Linked DNA regions of Coturnix japonica. The protein of the gene in region 2 interacts with the protein of the main gene of each other region in a pairwise test. Links are inferred from orthologs where the notes say so. Each region holds a gene or a part of one and is shown on either strand. Other genes may lie near its edges.

Region 1 (9,689 bases), on a different chromosome or scaffold from region 2:
AGGGAAGTCTGTGTTTGCCAGCCTTAGTCCATGAGGATCAGGTAACTGTTAGCTGAAAGCCGGCCTCTCAGACACAGAGACATGCTGGAGAAGCTGCTGTAGCCCAGCTCAGCTAAGGCTCTGCGGACTTAAGGGAAGGCGAGGGGTTGGGGAGGGAAGATGTCAAGGGGAAATGAGTTTTCCTGACCAGATGTCACCACACAAGCTGGGCCATATGGTCTCCTGCAGCTTGCAGTTTTAAGTAAAGCAGCAAAACTTAGAGAGAGCTACAGGCTTGTTTGAGCAAGACAGGAAGGGACTTTGCTTCTCCAAGTTTTTGCCAAGCACGTCAGTTAAGCCTGTAACAGGCTGACAAACCAACTCTGTGCTTCTCAGTATCTTCTTGCAGCTTATCATTTTTGCCACAAGTGATAAAGAATGATGCAGCCAGATAGGGCATGGCAGCTCTAACAGAGGCAGCTCTGGAAGTCAGCTCAAAGATCTCCTTACAGTCTCACTAGCCAGGGAGAAGCAAAAGCTGCATCTATTTCTATTCCTTAGATTACAAAAGCAGACAACCTGAGACTCCTTGAGCTTCTTCCATCTTCTTACAAGGTTAATTATCATGTGAGGCAGCTATTTGTGAAGGGATGTGGCATCCTGGCTCCTAAATACAGCAGAGCACAGGATTACATTTACAGAATTGGATTCTGTTTCCTCATGAGGTGGAGGGAGATTCCCCCTTCTGCAGGGTGATGCAATGCTGATGGCTGTACCCAAGCATTTCTGAAGATGGAGACAGATGGTGAGTGGTGACTTACTGCTCTGAGTGACAGGTTTGAAAGAGGGTGGCAGCAACGAGCCTGACAGAACCCATGCTCTCAGATCAGTGAGACAGACATGGCTCAAACACACAGCTTTGCTGCAGCGTGCAAGCCCCTTCCCAGAACAAATGTTTGTAAGGTGATGTGCTACAAAATGGGATATATATGGTACTTACAGCTTTAAAGGAGCTTTAACCATGCTAGATGCTCTGCCTTATGGTGCGGGTGTCCAAACTAAGTGATACGAAAGCTTCACCTAACACGTCTCAAAACAGCTGTTAAAACTGATAAATCCTTCGAGCTCTTTAAAGTACCAAATAACCACTGCGTTCACTTAGCTTGCCCACTTCTGATTCTCACCTGCCTGTTTTTTCTTTCAGCCAGTGCTTGCATGGAGGAATTTGACATCTGATCCTTCATTTCCTGTTTGTTCAAAGAAAGAAGAAGGACGTAAGCATTGGATTTGAGGTGACTTTCAGCTTCAGTTTGCTACCAAGTTGTCTATACCCAGAAAGATTTCTTTGTGGGGAGGGAGGGAAGGGTCTGTGGAAAAAATGCTCTTAAAAGCTCCACTGCAATTCATTGCTATTCAATACTAGAATCAACAGCAATGGGATATTTTGAAAATATCCCTTACTTACTACTCATTTTTATAGAATCAGATAATCATTTGGGTTGGAAGGGACCTTTATAGGTCATTAAGTCCCACTACCCTGCAGTGAAGAGGGACATCTACAGCTAGATTAAACTGCTCAGCCAGAAACACTTTGATTTGTATAATACCAGCTTAATGTTCCCAGTGACAGACGGTAAAGAAGATACGTTCTTGAAGGTCTTGGGAGCCCGTAGCCTGCATTTCATTCCCAGTTGTATCTGATTTAATCTTGCAAAGGACAAGATAGATTTCCTGTCCTGTGGCCCTCCTCTCTGACTGTCTCTCCTACAGAAGACAGCCACAGGAGGCTCCTACTTCCAGTGCAAACCAGTTCAGTTTCTATAGGGCAGATATGCAAGAAGCCAATATGATCCAGCAGGTGCTGATTCACTTTACCCACCAGCAGAGTTCTGATGTCACCAGAAGACACGTAGGTATGTTTTACTGCTCAGAGATGTATCACTTACAAGCAGCAGATCCCACCTGGTTACTTTTAATGCACAAGCTGCTTTCTATCACAAACTCTCTCCATGGAAAACCTAAGTCAAATAACTGCATGCTGGGGCTGCTGGGGCTTCAGGATCAGTTCCCAGGCAGCGAGCCTTAAGAACTGCCTCTGGACTGCAGGTAGGATGACAAGCTTGCTGCTAGCCACAGCAATGCAGCTTGTCAAGGAGGAACATCTGAGCCATGAGGGAAAGCAGAAATTAAGCTGCACTGAGCGTAGCAATTAATAGAGAGAAAACTTCCTAACCAGTGTGTAAGCAGACAGTGAAGATTTCAGAGAGACTTTTATTCTCTATTTATTACCACCGAGCTGTTAAAATATTCTTCCTGCTTCTGAATCCTCTCTAACAGCTATGTGAATAAATGCTGCTGCTCTTGCAGGTGCTACTGAACTTGAGTTTAATGCTGGCTGTAGCACTGAGTTGTGTGAAGCTGCGGCCCAACAAGCAGAGCTTTGCCAGGCCCACCTTTCTGTGAAGTACTGATATTTAAGAGTGTGAGCTTAAAGTCAGGCAGTCCTCGGTGGGAACATGTGATGTGGGGATGAGGAGGCAGCCTGAGGACAGGCAGGTAGGAGACTTACTCTCTGCTCTCCTGTTCAGCACTGACCTAGTCACCCTACTGGCTTTTTTTAACCACTCAAGCTGCCTTCTCTTTCCCCATCCTTGCTTCTTACCCTGACCACCTGCCGCGTGCTGGTGATGAAGGATTTTCTGATACCCAGCTCCGTGGCATCCAGGTTGAACTTCCGAGGGTTTGCCTCAACAATGCGTAGGAGAGGAGTTAAGGAGTCTGTGAGTGACATTCAGTGCACACAGACAGACAAACAGCCCCAACGGGAACCCACAAAGAGGCAGTTTTCCACTGTGCTGCACCTTCTCCTATAATGTGATTAGTAAAATACTAGATGTTGGAGGAATGAAAGCATGGCAGCAACATACAACACAATGCATGCACCAGAATGAGGTTTCTCTCCTGCTTTTTTTACAGCTCCCCAGTGCTGTGCAGTACTTTGAGCTGAACACGAGGGAAAAGGAATAGTTTTGGAAGCCAGCCTGCAGTATGAGTGACTACACAGAAATCCAAACTCATACAACACAACAGGCTTCTGAGAACAAAGCGTCTTATAATATACCTTGTCAAAGGGAAGACAAAAGGCAGAGGGAAATTCTTTTGCTGAACTCGTTTGCTGTTTGAGAAAAGCTGAGGTAAATGCAAAATTCAATCCCTGACTGTCCTGGTTGATGCAAAAATTAACTACCAGCGAGAGCTGGGACGTAGCTACTTATTACAGCTTGGGAACTGCGTGTCCCAACCTCCAAAGAACTCCAGAAAGGATATTAATTGTTTCATCCAAGTCTTCCAGGTCCCACTCGATGCTCCGCAGATTGTTCCTGAGCTCATTAGTGGTCCAGTCGATTTCTTCTCTTGTGGCAATGGAGGGATCCTGCAAGAGCTCTGTCCACCTCTGGAAGAGCCCCTGGGCAGTGTTCACAGCTTTCTGCACTTCCCTGAGGTTGGAGTGAAGAAAGAGAAGTGAAGGAACCACATCAGCTGTTCTGCAGCAGTCATGCTGGGACACGCCATGCCCAGAAGAGCTTGGAACTGCAGCCTCCCTGCAAGCACCTTTCCTTCTAGTTCATTTTGTGCAATAAGGATTCGCCATACCCACTGAACAACCCAGTCTCCTCTCCTGTTGAAGCACAAAGGGACAAGGAACAACTTATAGGTCGGCTACCACAATTAACAAGAAGACCAATTGCATCAGGAGTAGTTTCTGCTGAGTGACACAGAGGTGAGACAGTGCAGTGTGAGCGGCTGGACAAGACTGCCCTCATGGCAATTAATGTGCTGCATTCCTCTAAAGACTACCTAAGTGAGATACCCCAAGGATGAATGATGTTTATAGGAACTGTCCACACAGTGGTCAGGCAGACTGTTGTGTCCAGCACTGTTTATCTTAAGTTAGCATTAAAAAACTACACAGCTCTACTACACTGGCTTAGGGAACAGAAGTCTTTTCTGCTGCTCTAAGCTTTTTGGAGACGAGTGTATTCACAACATGGGAACACAGGCTTTGCTGACAGCACTGAATGCTGCTTTTGCGATCAGGGGCGAGCAGCAGGTAGCAATTCTCTGTGCCTACAGACACTGCAGCCCTGACCTGGGAACAAATCTCTCATGTCCAGGATGAGAGATGCAGACGATGTTGTGCTGGTGTGTCAGCCAGCAGAAAGTCAGCATCCACGTAAGACGCAGGGATTTATCTCCAGCAAAGGAAAGCAGTTTATCTGTTGGGAAAGCCCAGAAGGGATGAACCACGTCTGCAGCCGGCAGCAGCCATGTCAATGGCTGTCATGTCTCAAGCCCTAAGGTCAGCAGCTCTGCTCTGTTCTCTCTGCTGCTTGCAAGCAAAAGTTCTGGTTTATTTCACCTGTGTGTACTTGGAAAAGCACCTACCAGCAGGGATTCAAAGCTGGACACCCTAACAGGAGGAGTTACAAGCACCAGGGAAGCAAACTGAATGCCATGTGGCTGGGCTCAACTCCTTCCACTGTAATCTGCTGGCTAATAATTAACACCAGGAACAACACAACATCTCTCTCCCCTCCCAGCCCTTCCCCTTATGGCGCGGGAAACCCTCTGGAAAGTCTGACCGGCTGTTTGCTTCCCACCCACAACGATTAGCATTTGTTCCCCCCAGCATCAGCTTAGCTTGGCAGCAATCCCCTTCTGCTGGCTGCCCTGCAGCCTTTCCCACACCTCCTGTGCTCACCTGGCTTTTCCCACTGCCCTTCCTGAGCACTGTGCCACTGCTACGTGGAGCAGGATAGCAACAGCAGGAGTTGAAAGTGGCTGCACGCTGAATTTTGGAAGCTAAGCTTCTTTCCCCCCCCCCTATTAATTCCAGTTTCCCTTTCCTCTGACCTCAACTGCCTTTGTTTTGTGTTTGTCTTTGTTCAGGCTTTCCTCAGTGCCACTATCCATGTGTGTTTCTTCCTCAGATCATCTCTCAGCATGGTCACTATGCTCTGGTGCTCTGGGGATACCCTCGGTGAGAAGCAGCTTTGCATCCAGCCATGCTCTGCCCACTGCACGGTGACATGTCCAACCTCACATCCCACGTGCTGCTGATCGATGATAAGGACAGCTGGGAATGGCTTTGGGGGTGACAGTGGGGGCAGAACCCTCACAGAACTGTCAAGATCCCTGCTGGCCCCTCACAGCCCCCCAGATCCCTGCTGGTCCCTCACAGCCCTCCTCCCCAGATCCTTGCTGACCCCTCACAGACCCCCAGATCCCTGCTGACCCATCAGATCCATGCTGACCTCTCAGCCCCCCCAGGTCCCTACTGACCCCCCAGATCCCTGCTGGCCCCTCACCACCCCCAGCCCCACACCCCCCCATTTCACACCTCCCCTCAGAATCCCCCACCCCACACTCTTCTCCCCACACCTCTCACCCTCATCCATCCCCTTCCCAGCCCATTCCCTCCCCCTCAAGGCCTCCCTATTACCCCAGCACTCATTCTCCTCCTCACAGCCCCCACCCCCCACATTCCCCCTCGCATCCCTAGCTCCCTCCTCTCCCTCCCCCCTCACAGACCCCTCCAGCTCCCCAACCCTCACCTTTCCTCTCCCACACCCAACCCCATCCCTCACCCCTTCACCACGAAGAACGGATCCTCCATCGACATGATGGCGCCGACGCCGCCGAGCGCCCCGGCTGCCCAGCGCTCCGCCCTGCGCGCATGCGCGGCTGCCCGCTGCCAGCCGCCCGCCCCGTCCCGCCATGGCGTCGGCTGCGCCTCCCCTCAGCGCTGGGATGGGGCAGCCCGGCTGCCAACCCCTCCAGTGTCACTCTTTGTGTCGCTCAGTGCCGTATTTCCACTGCTCTGTAACACCTACAGTGTCCCCAGTACCTCCATGACACTCAAGATCAGTGAGTCCCGTGCCTCACTGCTCTTCTGGAGGGGGAATGTTCCTCATACCCAACCTGAACTTCTAGCACAACCTGATGCCATCCATCACCTCTCATCCTATCGCTGTTACCAGGAGCAGAGGCCGACCCCTCCTCACCACAGCCTCCTTTCAGGCTGTTATACAGAGCAATAAGATCTCCCTTGAGCTCCTCCACACCACCCCATCCCTCAGCTGCCCCCATCCCGCTGTGCCCCACACCCCCATGCTCAGGCCCAGCCTCCCTTAGCCAAGGCAGTGCTGCTTTGCTTATGGAAAACCCATTTGCAGAGATGCCTCCTCAGCATGGGAACCAGGTGAGTGGCTTTTGCAATCGCAGCACGCTTACTCACGAGTCAGGGGTGAGGACACACGTCGGACTGGTTTATGGGCATGGGAAAACACAGCGACTTGGGTGCATACAGCAGGAGGTGGCTGTATGCTGGGCTAAGACATGAACTTCATAGGGAGAATGAAGGCAGAAAGCTTTTCTTTGATGCTGGAAATGATGAATGGGGGTTTTCTTGCATAAGACTGCACTGCTGTTGTTTCACAGTAGGCTCATCTTGCTATCCAAGCTCAGGTTTTTGGCTTGGAAAGGCCAGGCAGCTTTTAGCTTTCCTCATGTTGGTGAGCATTAGCCAGCTGCAGAACTGGCCAGGGAGGATCTGATGAAACACTGGGAAGCTCCAGCTCATCACAATCCAACCTGCAAGAAAGCACAGGGCTCACGGAATGCTTTATCAGGAGAATTCCTATGGCATGTATGTACATGCACAGGGATGTGCTCAGCCTGCTGCTAACAAGGTGTATTTGATATAGTAGAGGTGGCTTTTCAATGGTGGTTGTGAGGGGAGGGTTAAGGCAGTGATAACTGGATGGGAAACATCAGTCTGTGGCTAAACAGTCATTGCTGTGGTGGGCTGCAAGGGTTTACATTGTGGTTTATAAAGAGGTTCCATGAGCATCGTGTTTAGAAACCTGCTGTGACTTAATTGAGAAGTGAGAAGTGAGAAGTGAGAAAGGGGCAGACAGCACTGAGCCTGTAAGGATGCTGGCCATGCTCAGGGCTTACCTGCAGCTAAAAAGGATTATTTATCTGGGTAATGAGGTGCTGGTTTGGCAAGACTTGATGGATTGGTGACAGGACTTAGACTGGCCCCATCTGTGGGGTGGATAGTGGGAGCTGCACTGTTATAGTGGGTCACAGAGGAGGTCTGGGGCACCCACGTGTGTGACCAGAGAATCCATTCCAGGCACTAATTAGAAGCAACTTTCTCTGGCCACCTCACCCCATCAACAGTCCTCATTATCCCCATGTCCACGGGTGGCTTTTGTACCCAAACTCCTTGTCACACAGTCAGCCCCGCAAGAGGGCAAGGTGGCAAAGGAAGGTCCTCACAAGAGGAAAGAGGCACAGACATTTCATGCTTTCTCTTCATTTTGGAGAGAGGGATTCAACACAAAGGGCTGAATGGGGCCCTGAGCAGCCTGATCTGGTGGGGGTCAACCAGCCCTTGGCAGGGGATGGGACTGGGTGGGCTTTGAGGTCCCTTCCAACCCAACCATTCTATGGTGCTGTGATTACATGATTCTACAATGCCGTGATTTGATGTTTCTGTGAGCTGCTCTGTCCTTGAATGCCACTCTGAGGATGCCTGGACGTGGTCCCTCACTGTTAGCTTGGAGCATGGCAGCGTGACACAAGTGTCATTGCCATCCAGCAGGAAGCTGTGGGACACAGGGCACATCTGTGCTCCACGACGTGCGCAGGGCTGCAGCCGGCACTTGCCTGCCAGCTAAAAGGAAGGTGACTTTGAGATGCAGGGAGAGAAAATAATTAGACTGTGACTCCTTTGGGCAGGCAGCCTACCCTACAGTCTGCAGGGCTGCGGCTTCGGCTGGCTCTGATGTGTGGATTTAACCCTGTGCTGGGCTGCAGGTGAACCCAGGCTCCTGTTTGGCACGGAGTGAGAGCATCCCTCAGGGCACAGAGCAAATCACCCAGTCGGCATCATGTGAGCAGCAGCCCAGTGCTGTGCTGGGCTTCTCCTGGGCACCAGGAGGACCAAAGGACCAGAGGAACAAAATACAGGAAGGTGGACTACAATAGAAGGGTTGTCTGATAGGAAACCCCGGACAAATAAATGTGTTCTTTCCCCAGGAAACCAAAGCCAATTTCATAAAGGACTGTAAGCTGTGGGGCCACCTTTTTCCAAGGGAAATGGCTGCCTGAAGGAGCTGATAACCATCTACATCCTTATCCAAACTCAGACAAGCTGTGGGTGCCCTAACTCTGGATGGATCCCTGTAAGGTCATGGATGGAGCCCTAGGTAGCCTGACTGGTAGGGGACAGCCATCCCACGGCAGGGTTGGGGCTCACTGATCTTTAAGGTCCCTTCCAACCTAAGCCTTTCTATGATCTCCCCGAATGGAAGAGGGGTTTTAACCTTGGAAAAACCCCTTTGCTTTCTAGTACGGTGCTGCGCTGTGTGAACGCGAGGCTGTGGTTTCCAGTGCAGGTACAGAGCACTCTCAGAAGCTGGGGGAGCCACTTCCCTTCCTTCAGCTTTAGGTCTGTGTTGCTTTCTTTGTTTCGCTTGCGTGTTGTGTTGGGTTGTCACCCAGCAGTGCTTAGTATTTGGGGATGTTCTCTCTGCCCTTGTCTTCAAACACAGATAACCCAGAGCAGATGGGAACCGGGGAGCATTACCTACCCATACCCAACAGCGGGAGGCTGAGACTGCATCTGTGTCAACCATTGATTTATCTAGGAGGGAAGAATCAACCCAAACGATGCTCAGCGTTAGATATCTCTTATCTCTGGCTACAAAACGAAGCCCTGTTTGGGAATGGTTGCTTCATCAGTGGAGCCTGGAGATGTCCTGGAGGTCCATTGTCACTTGGGGAAGCTCAGTACGAAGGGTTTTATCCCCTACCACGCTGCTGGTGTGAGAGTCTGTGTCCCAGGAGGAGCCCAACCCCCGAACCAAGAGAAGGGCGATGATGCACCGGGGAGGCTCCAGGATCCCGTGCTTGGAGGACACCTGGATGTCTCCGGGATCGCTCCCCATTCCTTCAGAGTATCTGCCCGGCTCACATGTGTTGACAAGGCGCAGTGCCGGCTGCCGGAGGGTCGGCGCCAGCTTGGAACAGGATCTGGGTAACCACATCCGCACTCGGCGACAGGTCGGGGGCCGCGCTGCGTGCCAGATGGCCCGGCCCGGCCCGGCGCTGATGGCAGCGGGACCCGAGAGCTGCCGGGACGTGACAAAGCGCCGTTCGCCTTATATTTCCGATAGCGCGAGGGAGGCGGACAGAGAGCTGATATGAGACGGCCATCGGGCCGTGGGCAGCCCGTGCCACGAGGCAGCAGCGCCAGCCCCCGAGCGAACTTCCCGGAGCTGATTGAATCGCCTATAAAAAAGCAGCCGTGTGCGCAGCCTCTGCGATTACGATGTTGTACCGCAAGCTGCTTCCTGTCCCGAGCCTCTTTTATCTCGCATTGTTTTCCTTTCCAGGTGGGGCTGCGGGCTCCCCGCCGCTCGGCCCCCCGGGTTTCCTGCTCGCTCCGAGCCACCTTTGTCTGCCGGCCCCGCTATTTCGGGAAACGGCAGCTGTGCCGAAGGGCTGCGAATTGTTTGTCAGCTCCTTTCCAGCCTGCCCAGATCACACGCGGACAGAGAAGCGGCCGGTCGCACCCTGCCCGCCCGGCTCCTGCCGGGGATGGATGGGGCGCTGCCCCTCGGCTGGGCCACGCACAC
Region 2 (9,689 bases):
AGCTGCCCTGGGGCTGTTTCCCTGGCCAAGCTAATAACACATGGTGTCAGTAAGATAATCTTCTGGTACTGCCCCAGCATCTCCATTAGGGGAGAGGAAGCAATAGGCAGTGCTTCCTTTGCTGCATCAATACAGCAGGTAGAGACTTCGAGCAAGGCAGAGCAGGCAGCATTCACAGCTGCTGTATCATGGGCTCTTGTTGCTGCTAGGAGTGCTGTAATGACAGGGTGAATTTCTCCTTTCCTTGGAACAACATCTGGGTGTGAGTTACCTGCTTGTGGGGACGGATTACTTAAGGTATCTTCTTGCAGTTTAGTTTGGCTGGTAATGTTTTTTAACCCAGCATAGGATGAGTTGAGTTCAAGCTCCTTCGTAACATCAGCACCCCGTACTTGTTCCCGCAGAGGGCTGAGGATATCTGGGTGGTTGGATCCATCCAGCCCATCCTGAATGCAGTGAGCAGCATCCATCAGGGAGCTCACTGTCTTTGAAAAGACAGCCCTAGTTTGAAGGCAGGAGCATTTCTCCGCACAAAGGGCCATGGCTGCTTTCAGCTCAAGAATGGACTTGGCCAGCTGCTCAACCCAAACCAGCAGGCCGTTCCTGAAGATGGGGTCTGTTGCTCTATCCACATACCTGACAGCAGCTTCAGTGACCCACCGAGCCCAACTGGTGAGGACAGCAGCATGCCTAGAGAGCCTTTCGGGGTCCTGATGTTGTAGGGCCTTGTCACACCATTCCTTGTGCTTGGCCATTTCCTGGATGGACACCTTCATGAACTCATGCATGCTGATTGTGTCCTCAAAACACTGCAAGAGGTTTTCTGTTGTCCTGGCCCATGCGTGGTACAAGGACTGCAGCTGCTGAGCAGTGCTCGCGTGGGTTGGATTTCTGCTCATTTCTGTGAGCACCGGAGGGAGACTGGCAAGGAGGCTCTTCAAGTGCTCTATGCAGTCGTGGATTTCTGTAGCAGTTTGAGGTTTGGTGCACCTGCCCAGGACAAAGTCTGTCACTCTGAGCACCTGCTGGGCATGTGTGAAGAAGGTGGCAGTGAGGGGCTGAAGCTTCTTCAGTAATCCTCCCTGCTCTGCTGGAAAATACCCTGTATTTGCATGGGTAAGAGCTTCCTCTACTAACTGCCTCAGGGGCTCCTTAGCCTCAGAGAAGGCATTGAGGATTTCATGCAGAGTAGCTTTGAGCACAGCCTGGTCAAGGTCCTTCACCTCCTTTCTCATGGTGTGACATTCCTCCTGCAGGCTGCTTTCTCCCCAGCTTGGCCTTGTCCGTCCCTCCTGCTGACTTACGTGGCAGCAAATGCTCTTTCTGAGCTGTAGGAGAACCCAGCAACGTTTTACCAGATCCTGCTTTAGATCTGCCCTGCACATCTCTGCTAGAAGCATGCAGTAGAAAACTACTGCTTCCACGTGAGCGCTGAACTCGCTGTCAGAGAGGTGAACTGGGTCTGGGTGGTAGAGGAGAGCCAGCAGCCTTTGCACATGATGGGAGAAGGTCCCGTGTCTGTCCTGAAGCTCATTGCTGCCCTTGCTGTTGACAAGCAAAGAAACAAGCTCTTGGATGGTCCTCTCCATCAGCTGGAAGGCATAGTTTTTGGAGCAGTTGACTCGTTGAGGCCAGGAGCACTGAAGGTGGCGGTGCTTGGATTCATGGATCAGAGGAACGCACTCCTGAAGGAGCTGCAAAGTCTGGGCCAAGCGGGTCCGTCGAGGAGAGTCTTGGAGTTCCTGGAGGTGCTGTGCTGTCAGATTGCTCAGCAGAAGAAAGGCCTTGGAGAAGTCCTGGAAAGCACCCAGCAGTCCTGGCACATCCCCCGTATCCCGCAGCGTGCCCAGGCACTCCAGCAGCCAGCTGGCAGCCTGCGTTATCCTCCTTGTCCCAGCAGCACCTTCGATCCGAAGGATCTAGTGCAGCAGAAAGCAAAGGCAGCGTGGATAAGGTTATGCATCACTGTTGCATCCCTCTGGAAATGATACTGTATCTGCAGCTGGGAAGAAAAGAGGTGTGTAGTGCCCAGCAGGCCTGCCCTAGTGAGCACATAGGGAGTCCTGGCATTATCAAGGTTGGATGAGACCAGCAGAATCATCCAGTCCAACCCCACCGTGCCCACTGCCCACGTCCCTCAGTGCCACATCCCCACGGCTCTGGGACACCTCCATGGACGGTGACCCCACCACTCCTGTGCAGCTGTGCCACTGCATCACCGCTCTGTGGAGAAGGAATTGTTCCTGATACCCACCGTGAATTACAACCGGGCACAACATGAGGCCATCCACTCTCACCCTATTGAAGAAACAACTGTTGCTCCAACTAGAGCTCCCGCAGCTGGTCCCAGCCATCTCATCCCTCCTCCAGCTTCACCCTCCCCACCAGCACCATCCCCTCCGGCATTACCTTCACGGTCTCAGTGAGGACGCCCTTTGCTGCTGCAGCCAGCACCTCCCTGTGGCTGTGGCTGTCCGGCTGTCCCTGCAGCTGTTGGGCTGCCTGCAGCACGTGCCTCCCTGCCATCATGAGGGACTGGGCTGTGAGTTGTGTCTCCTCCTGGTATACCTTGTCACTGGATTGCTCGGCCAATCTGGAAGAAAAGCCTCAGAGCTCAGCATGTCCCCATTCCATAAGTACCACCCATCGGCCAGCAAAATTACCTTCTTGCAGCAGAAGCGAGTTCATCAGTGGCTTTGGCTAATCTTTCTGCATTCTCCTCTATATTGGGTAAGGTCTGACACATCCCATCTTCCTGTTCCAGGGCGAGGATTAGATGACAGAGCTCTGCGGCCATGGGGCAAAGGATCCTCTGGATAGCTTTGTTTTCTGTCTGTATTCCAAGATCATAGAGATAAAAAGGCTCCATTGTGTCCTGCCTGGAAAAGAAGGGAAATAAAACCTGGAATGGTTTGGGATCCTTCACAACGTGTGATCCGTTTCAGCAGCAATCTTGGGCTGGAGGAAACCCTGGAGGCCATTGGAGCGTTGAGTGCAGCACCAACCTGCAGGAGGGAAGGTGTGCTGTGAGTGACCCAGAGCTTCCCAGCCCTGCTGTAAGTGGAGCCCGTGTGTGCGTCCCATCGAGGTGCCGCAGTGCTGACAGCTCAGCTCTTAGCAGCTCCCACTGCAGCTGGTGTTATGTGAGCCTGGGCCGCACAGCGATCACCTTCCCTGGTATTGAGTTCTGCACCTGCAGAGAGCTCTGGGGCAGCGATCCAAAACCACGTGGGCAACTTAATGATTAATTCCCTTTGCGGATGCTTTGAAAAGCACAGGTCTGAAGGACAGGACCAGGAGCTGCAGCCCAGGGGCAGCACACAGCCAGGCTTCCCCTGTGGGCTTTCTCACTTTGTAAGCAGCAGATGTGGCTCCTTTTGGCAATAGGTGAGACCCACTTGGCAGCTCCAACCCGCCCTGCATCACCCAGCCCGTGTGTTGCCATGTTTGTGTGCAGCCCAGCACATCTTGGCCAAGCACACTGCAGCGATGGCGCTGGCATCCAGCGCACAACAGGGATGCTGGTGCCAAACTGCTTTGCCAAGAAGAAGGAATTCATCTCTACTTTGAGGAACGGGACAGGAAATGGGCAAACTGATTGCCTCTTCTCCTGGCTTTTCCTGTGCACGTTCACTGATGGAGAGCAGCCGCAGGGAGACCCTTCTGTGTTCTTGTGCAGCCCGAGGCCGTGCGCTGCGTGCACGCATCGTGCGCTGCGCACCGTGCTCCGCCTCCGTGCGCGCTCCCGGAGGAGGAAGAGGAGGAGGAGGAAGAGGAGGAAGAGGAGGCGGCTCCGGGCCTGGCCGAGCGCTGCCGCGATGGACAACTCGGGGAAGGAGCGGGAGGCCGTGCAGCTGATGGCCGAGGCCGAGAAGCGGGTGAAGGGCTCGCACTCCTTCCTGCGGGGGCTCTTCGGGTGAGCGAATCTGGGATGGGGAGGGGGAGAGGTTGCAAGAGGAAAAGGGGGCTGCGAAATAACGGGGTGGTGCGGTGCGGGGAGGTGGGGGTTGCGAAAGGGAGATGCGATGGGGAGGGGATGCAAAAAGGGGGAAATTGCGGAGGTGGGGTGATCGGCGTGCAGGGGGGTGCATAAGGGGGATTGCACGGCCCGGACGACACCCCCGCCCCATAAGCAGAGCAGGGGGTGGCGGCTCGGTGCACGCAGATGCTGTGCTGGGTGGGCGGCTGTGGATGTGTCCGCATGGCAAAGGCCGGCTGTGTTTTGCTGAATAATTGCTGGCACGACACGGGGAGCGGAGGGTGGGAGCCGCGGTGCCCGCAGGGTGCTGTGAGCAGCGCTGTGCAGGCACTGAAACCCGCCTGCAAAGAGGCAAAAGAGGCTTGATGCTCTCTCCTGCTCTCGTCCAGGGGTAACACCAGAGTGGAGGAGGCCTGTGAGATGTACACCAGGGCTGCAAACATGTTCAAGATTGCCAAAAATTGGAGCGGTGAGTGCGGCCTGGGGGAGGGGGGGCAGGACCGAGTATTTGTGCTGTTAAATGGGTCCGTCTGGGGACAGCTTACCACGCTAAACTGGAGCTATAGCAGCCCTCGGGGTGCTGATGTTGTGGGAGGAGGTTTGCACGGAGCCCAGCATCGCTGTGCTGACCTGGGTTGGAAATGCCTTTGGGGCTGTTGAAACTCTGAAGCTTTCCTGGTGCCGGGTGGTTGGCGGCTGTTTCCCTGCAGTTCTGTTCTCTCTGTGGGGTACACTCGGTGCTGTGCTTCTATTCCAGCTGCAGGGAACGCCTTCTGCCAAGCAGCCAAGCTGCACATGCAGCTGCAAAGCAAGCACGACTCGGCCACCAGCTTTGTGGACGCTGGGAACGCCTACAAAAAAGCAGACCCACAAGGTACAGGGGATCAAATCCGGGATTGTTTAGTGCAAATCTTCTTAGCAGCATAGGAGCGCAGCGCCACGGCTTTCAGAGTCAGCTGGTCCGTGTGCCTGGAGAGCCTCTATGCAGCCTGCTGGGGATTACTGCCATTTCTTCCTTGTGCCATCTCTCCGGCATGAGAGAGATGCTTTCTGTTGGCTGGACGTGGCTCGTCCTGATGGTTGTGTCACCGCCTGGTGTCGGGGCTGCTGTGGGATGGTTGAGGTGGGCTCAGTGGGTGAGATTCCCCTGAAGCTGAGGGCTCAGGGTCTTCAGCCCCATAGACATCCAGGTGTGCCCCCAGATGTTCCACATCTCTCAAGTTGTTTTTTGGGGGGAAAGTCTTAAAATGGGCGCTCTGGTGTGCCAGCTGACTTTGTGTTGTTTTTCTGAACACACATGCTGCAGAGGCCATCAACTGCTTAAATGCAGCTATCGATATCTACACCGACATGGTAAGAGGCTGGGGTTGGGGCTGAGCTGTGTGTCCAAGGCACGGTCACTGTGCCCACGTTATGACTGTGCGCCAGGCGGGGAGGAACCTCCTCTCACAGCACTTCTGTCCTCCCCAGGGGCGGTTCACCATCGCAGCCAAACACCACATCACCATTGCAGAGATCTATGAGGCCGAGCTGGTTGACATCGAGAAGGTAAGAGTGCCAGACCCTGTGTTTGCTGCTGTAGGGCACTGAGATCCCGAAGCATCACCTTTATTAAACATGCTTTGGAGTCTGGGGCTGTTAACAAGCATGTGGGTGAACGTTCAAGGGCAGCATCGCGTTTTGAGTTTGCTGGGTGCCCCTCTTGACCCACAGCCCCACAGCGTGTCGTCATCTCACTCCTTTCATCTGCAGAGCGGAAAAGCTTTTGTGAGCATGGTCACTGTGCACTGATCTAACCCAAACCCCCGCTGCAGAAGCAGTGTTCAAGCATAATGTTTCTGTCCCCAGGCGATTGCGCACTACGAGCAGGCTGCGGACTATTACAAAGGAGAAGAGTCCAACAGGCAAGTGGGCTTTGGGAAGTGGTTCCTTCTAGCAGGGAAGGGTTGGAAATGGGGACTTGCCCTAGATTGCATACATCCTCATACTCCTCACCCAACAGGCTCTTCTAAAACATCCTTTGGTAGGATGCCCAAATCCTACGTGATTATTTTAAGCCTAGCAGGTGCCCGTGCGTCATGCCAGTTGGGTTTCTAAAGGATGCTTACATTTCTGTGCAGGGTTCTTATGCTGCAAGCAGACTCATCTTGGTTGGTGTGCCTGTTCTAGGTGCATAGAAAGCACAAAGAGATGAGCGATGTCTGACATCTGGTCGGGCTGTGAGGTCTTTGTGCTTTTCCCTGGGTGTTTGTTAGTCACCTACTTTGTAGCTCGTGGGTTCTGCCTTTTTAGGCAGCAGGCGGAGGCTGGGATGCATGCAGGTGCTTGCAGGTGGCATGGATGCTCTCCTTCCTCACTTATTTTCTGGTATGGATTGCAGCTCAGCCAACAAATGTCTGCTGAAGGTGGCTGCCTACGCTGCGCAGCTGGAGCAGTACCAGAAGGCGATAGAAATCTATGAGCAGGTGAGGTGGGGCAGCCTGTCCTTCTGTGCCTGCAGGCAACACCGCCTGGGCTGGGCGCTGGGTTGCCCTGTTGGGCCTCACTTAAAGAAATCTGAAGGTGGGGATGGGTTTTCCTCTTCGGTGTCTCCCCCTAAAGCTGTCTGGCTGCCCCATAACTGTTTGCACAGACACTGGCATTTGTCATGGCTTTTATTTGCAGACGCTTGGGTGGTACTCTGTGCGGTTTTAATCAGGTGTCGTGCTTGTAATTCAGTTCCTACTGATGCACGTTTCTTTCCCAGCTCCAATAATTCCTTTTTATGCCCAGGTCGGAACAAACACGATGGATAATCCTTTGCTGAAGTACAGCGCAAAGGAGTATTTCTTCAAAGCTGCTCTGTGTCACTTCATTGTGGATGAGCTGAACGCTAAGGTCAGTGGGCTCAGAGTGGCTGCCCCAACCTCCTGCAGCCATGCTGACCAGGGAGGTGTTTCTGCAGGCTTTTATAGGGGCTTGTAGCTGGTGCTGTCACCTGCTGATAGCTGAATCGCTACCAGACTCCAGCATAAGCAGGATGGAGGGTGAACTGCAGCACATCCAGAGTGATGCTCAGGGGTAAATCAGGGCACGTGCTACTGCAGTGTCCAGTGCAGAGTTTTCTGCTTCCTTCCCAGCCTGTGCTCTGGCTGTGTCTGTTTGGTTCTTGCTGAGTGATATATTGGGCCACGGCTCTGAGCAGATTGAGGCCAGATCTGACCCTGCCTCTTCCTTTCCTGTTCTTGTTGGGTTTGCTCTGAATGATTTCTGTGTGGTTTTAGGACCAGAAGAGAAAAAAGTGAAATAAGAAGTGAGGAACTGTGTGTGAAAAGAGCCTGAGGGTGTGCTTCTCTCTTTCAGCTGGCGCTTGAGAAATACGAAGAAATGTTCCCAGCCTTTACAGATTCACGGGAGTGCAAGCTATTGAAAGTAAGTAAAGACAGCATTAAAATAACATGCTCACATTTAGAACTGTAAACTGCCCTTTGTGCTTTTTTTCGCCTTGCCACGGGTTTGGCCTTCTTTTCAAAACGCCTTAAGGGACATCAGACTCGTTCTGTGTTGGATTCAGACCAGGCGGGTGGGAGTAGCAGCAGCAGAAAGATGATTATTGTGGTTAACTTGAACAAACCTGGGTTTGTGTTTGTGGTGGGGAGTTGGTAGGTTGCAAAGGTCCCCCCTCATGGAGGGACTTGCAGTATTGTCTGACTTGTCATGGTGTTCTCCTAGAAACTGCTGGAAGCCCACGAGGAGCAGAACTCCGAGGCGTACACCGAGGCAGTAAGTACCCACCAATCTCTGTGTTTCTATCTGGGGCTCTTTGAGGCGGCCTCCCTTTTTCTCTTGTTTAACAGAGCTCTTTTCTACCTCGGGAAGAGCTGAAGGTTTAAAAGATTACACTTCAAGAGATGCACGGTGCTTGTTTTTGCGGCTGCTTTCCGACTGCTTTTCTCTTTCCCTTTAATAGGTTAAAGAGTTCGATTCGATATCGCGGTTGGATCAGTGGCTCACAACCATGTTGCTTCGCATCAAGAAGTCAATTCAAGGAGAAGGGGACGGCGACCTGAAGTGAATTATTCGTGGTGTTTGTGGCATGCAGCCTAAGTCATTTGTTCTCGTGTTACAGCCAAGGACCACTCCAGGATACGTGATAAAATATCTAGCTTAATTTTGTTGCTTCTAAGTCCCAATGACTGTGTGTTTCTTTAGTACCCTGCTCTTTGTTGTGGCAACGTGGGTAGTTGAGAAGCCGTGCTCTGGGTTATCACTGGCAGGTTTTTCTAAGGTGAAAGGAACACCTCTGGCAGAAATCTTTGTGTTTTTTTGTTATTGATCACCCTGAAGTTTGCACTTAGAACTCCTTTTTTCCCTTCCTGTTCCGTCTTAAGGTTCAATACCATTGAATTGAGCATGTACATTTTTGTGCCAGTGCAGTACAAATAGTAGATGCTGATCTGCTGCTGTATCATTGTTTCCTGTTTTTAAATGAACCTCTGCCAGATACACTTGAATCTTGTGGTTGTTTTGTTTTGTTTTTTTAACGATTGAGCTTTTTAAATGGTGCTAGTGAACAGCTTTGTGACTCCTAGACACAGATACACGTGTGCTGGAAGCATCGCACATCAGAGGGCAGGAGAGCAGACCTAGTTAACCGTGTATTTTGTATTTAAGATCTAAATATAAAGTGTAAGGCTCTTCTCTATTTTCTTGGATCTATTTTTCCACTTTGTTCTGTGGCACAGCCCCTGACCCTGCTACCCTACGATGACTTGACCCACGTAATAATATATTTTTCTAACTTCTCATTTAAATCAGCTCCCGTTGCTGTCTCCTGCAGGTCTTTTGTGTGTGCCAGGCACTGCCCCTTAGCTTCAGTCCCTTTTGCTGTTGACTCAGCTGCCTCGTTGTTGTGACGTGCAGAGGTGTTGGCGGAGGCTTGGCACTGAGCAGGACCCTTGTCTTATTAGGTGTTTGGGTAACAGATGGATGGAGCGTGCTCTGAAGAGATGTAGGCGCTTTAGAAATTCTCCTTGTCGTTTTAGAGATGTGTTTTCAAATGGCTGCAACCAAAGCTCCTCTGTGCAACGCGTTGTTTGACTAGCACTGATGAAGCTACCTACAGTCCAGCGTATAGACTGGCAGACCTGTGAGCCTATGCAATCTGTCAGCAGTTGTCACTTGGCATTTCTCTGCAGTGGAGTGAGACACTAAGAATGGAGACGTAGCTGCTTTAGCAGCAGTGCTGGTGGTGGCAGCTCTGGTGGGTACTGCTGCAGTTTGGAGTCTGTCTTTTGTTTCTCTCGCTGTAAGGATTCTGTCTGCTCCTGTCCTGGCAGCCCATGTGTTGGCTTTCACTGCTCTGTTTTTATTCTTTATGTTTATTGGAGTAGAAAACCATTCGATCAACAGACTGACCTAAAAGGGATCAGTAGTTGTGAAGCAGTACTGTTATTTCCTGCTTGCTCAAGAAAACCAAAACTCACTGCTGCTTTGCACATTTGTTTTTTTTCTGACTCTTCTCTCCAGTCACTTCTTCTCCATAGGCTGTTCTATGCATCAGAACATGGAAGGTGAGACCCAGGAGCTGTGCAGATCTAGGATGAGTCCAGTGAGCTGGGAAGATGCTCGGTCTCCCACACAATTTCAGTTTCCTCACATCTCAGGTGTGTTTTTATGGCCAATGTCTGGCTGCAACAAATCCATCACTGCAGCCTAACTCACCTCATTT

The links. The genes of interacting proteins can lie anywhere in the genome.
Region 1: the proteins of NAPB (region 2) and STX6 interact in binary tests that used the Homo sapiens proteins (3 or more experiments, as listed by UniProt). The two-hybrid records come from large-scale screens. The link is inferred for Coturnix japonica from reciprocal best matches to the Homo sapiens genes NAPB and STX6.

The regions. Positions count from the first base shown.
Region 1 is NC_029523.1:5,885,137-5,894,825, forward strand, and holds the start of STX6 (syntaxin-6), read right to left. Parts: upstream 5,720-9,689; 5' UTR 5,663-5,719; coding exon 5,628-5,662; intron 3,477-5,627; coding exon 3,307-3,476; intron 2,737-3,306; coding exon 2,642-2,736; intron 1,227-2,641; coding exon 1,164-1,226; intron 1-1,163. UniProt on the Homo sapiens protein: SNARE promoting movement of transport vesicles to target membranes. Targets endosomes to the trans-Golgi network, and may therefore function in retrograde trafficking.
Region 2 is NC_029518.1:4,483,326-4,493,014, reverse strand, and holds the start of NAPB (beta-soluble NSF attachment protein), read left to right. Parts: upstream 1-3,744; 5' UTR 3,745-3,818; coding exon 3,819-3,916; intron 3,917-4,368; coding exon 4,369-4,448; intron 4,449-4,736; coding exon 4,737-4,853; intron 4,854-5,285; coding exon 5,286-5,332; intron 5,333-5,449; coding exon 5,450-5,527; intron 5,528-5,827; coding exon 5,828-5,883; intron 5,884-6,359; coding exon 6,360-6,444; intron 6,445-6,751; coding exon 6,752-6,856; intron 6,857-7,321; coding exon 7,322-7,390; intron 7,391-7,690; coding exon 7,691-7,741; intron 7,742-7,928; coding exon 7,929-8,033; 3' UTR 8,034-9,689. Other genes in the region: vinculin-like, read right to left, coding at 1-1,919, 2,410-2,593, 2,664-2,869. UniProt on the Homo sapiens protein: Required for vesicular transport between the endoplasmic reticulum and the Golgi apparatus.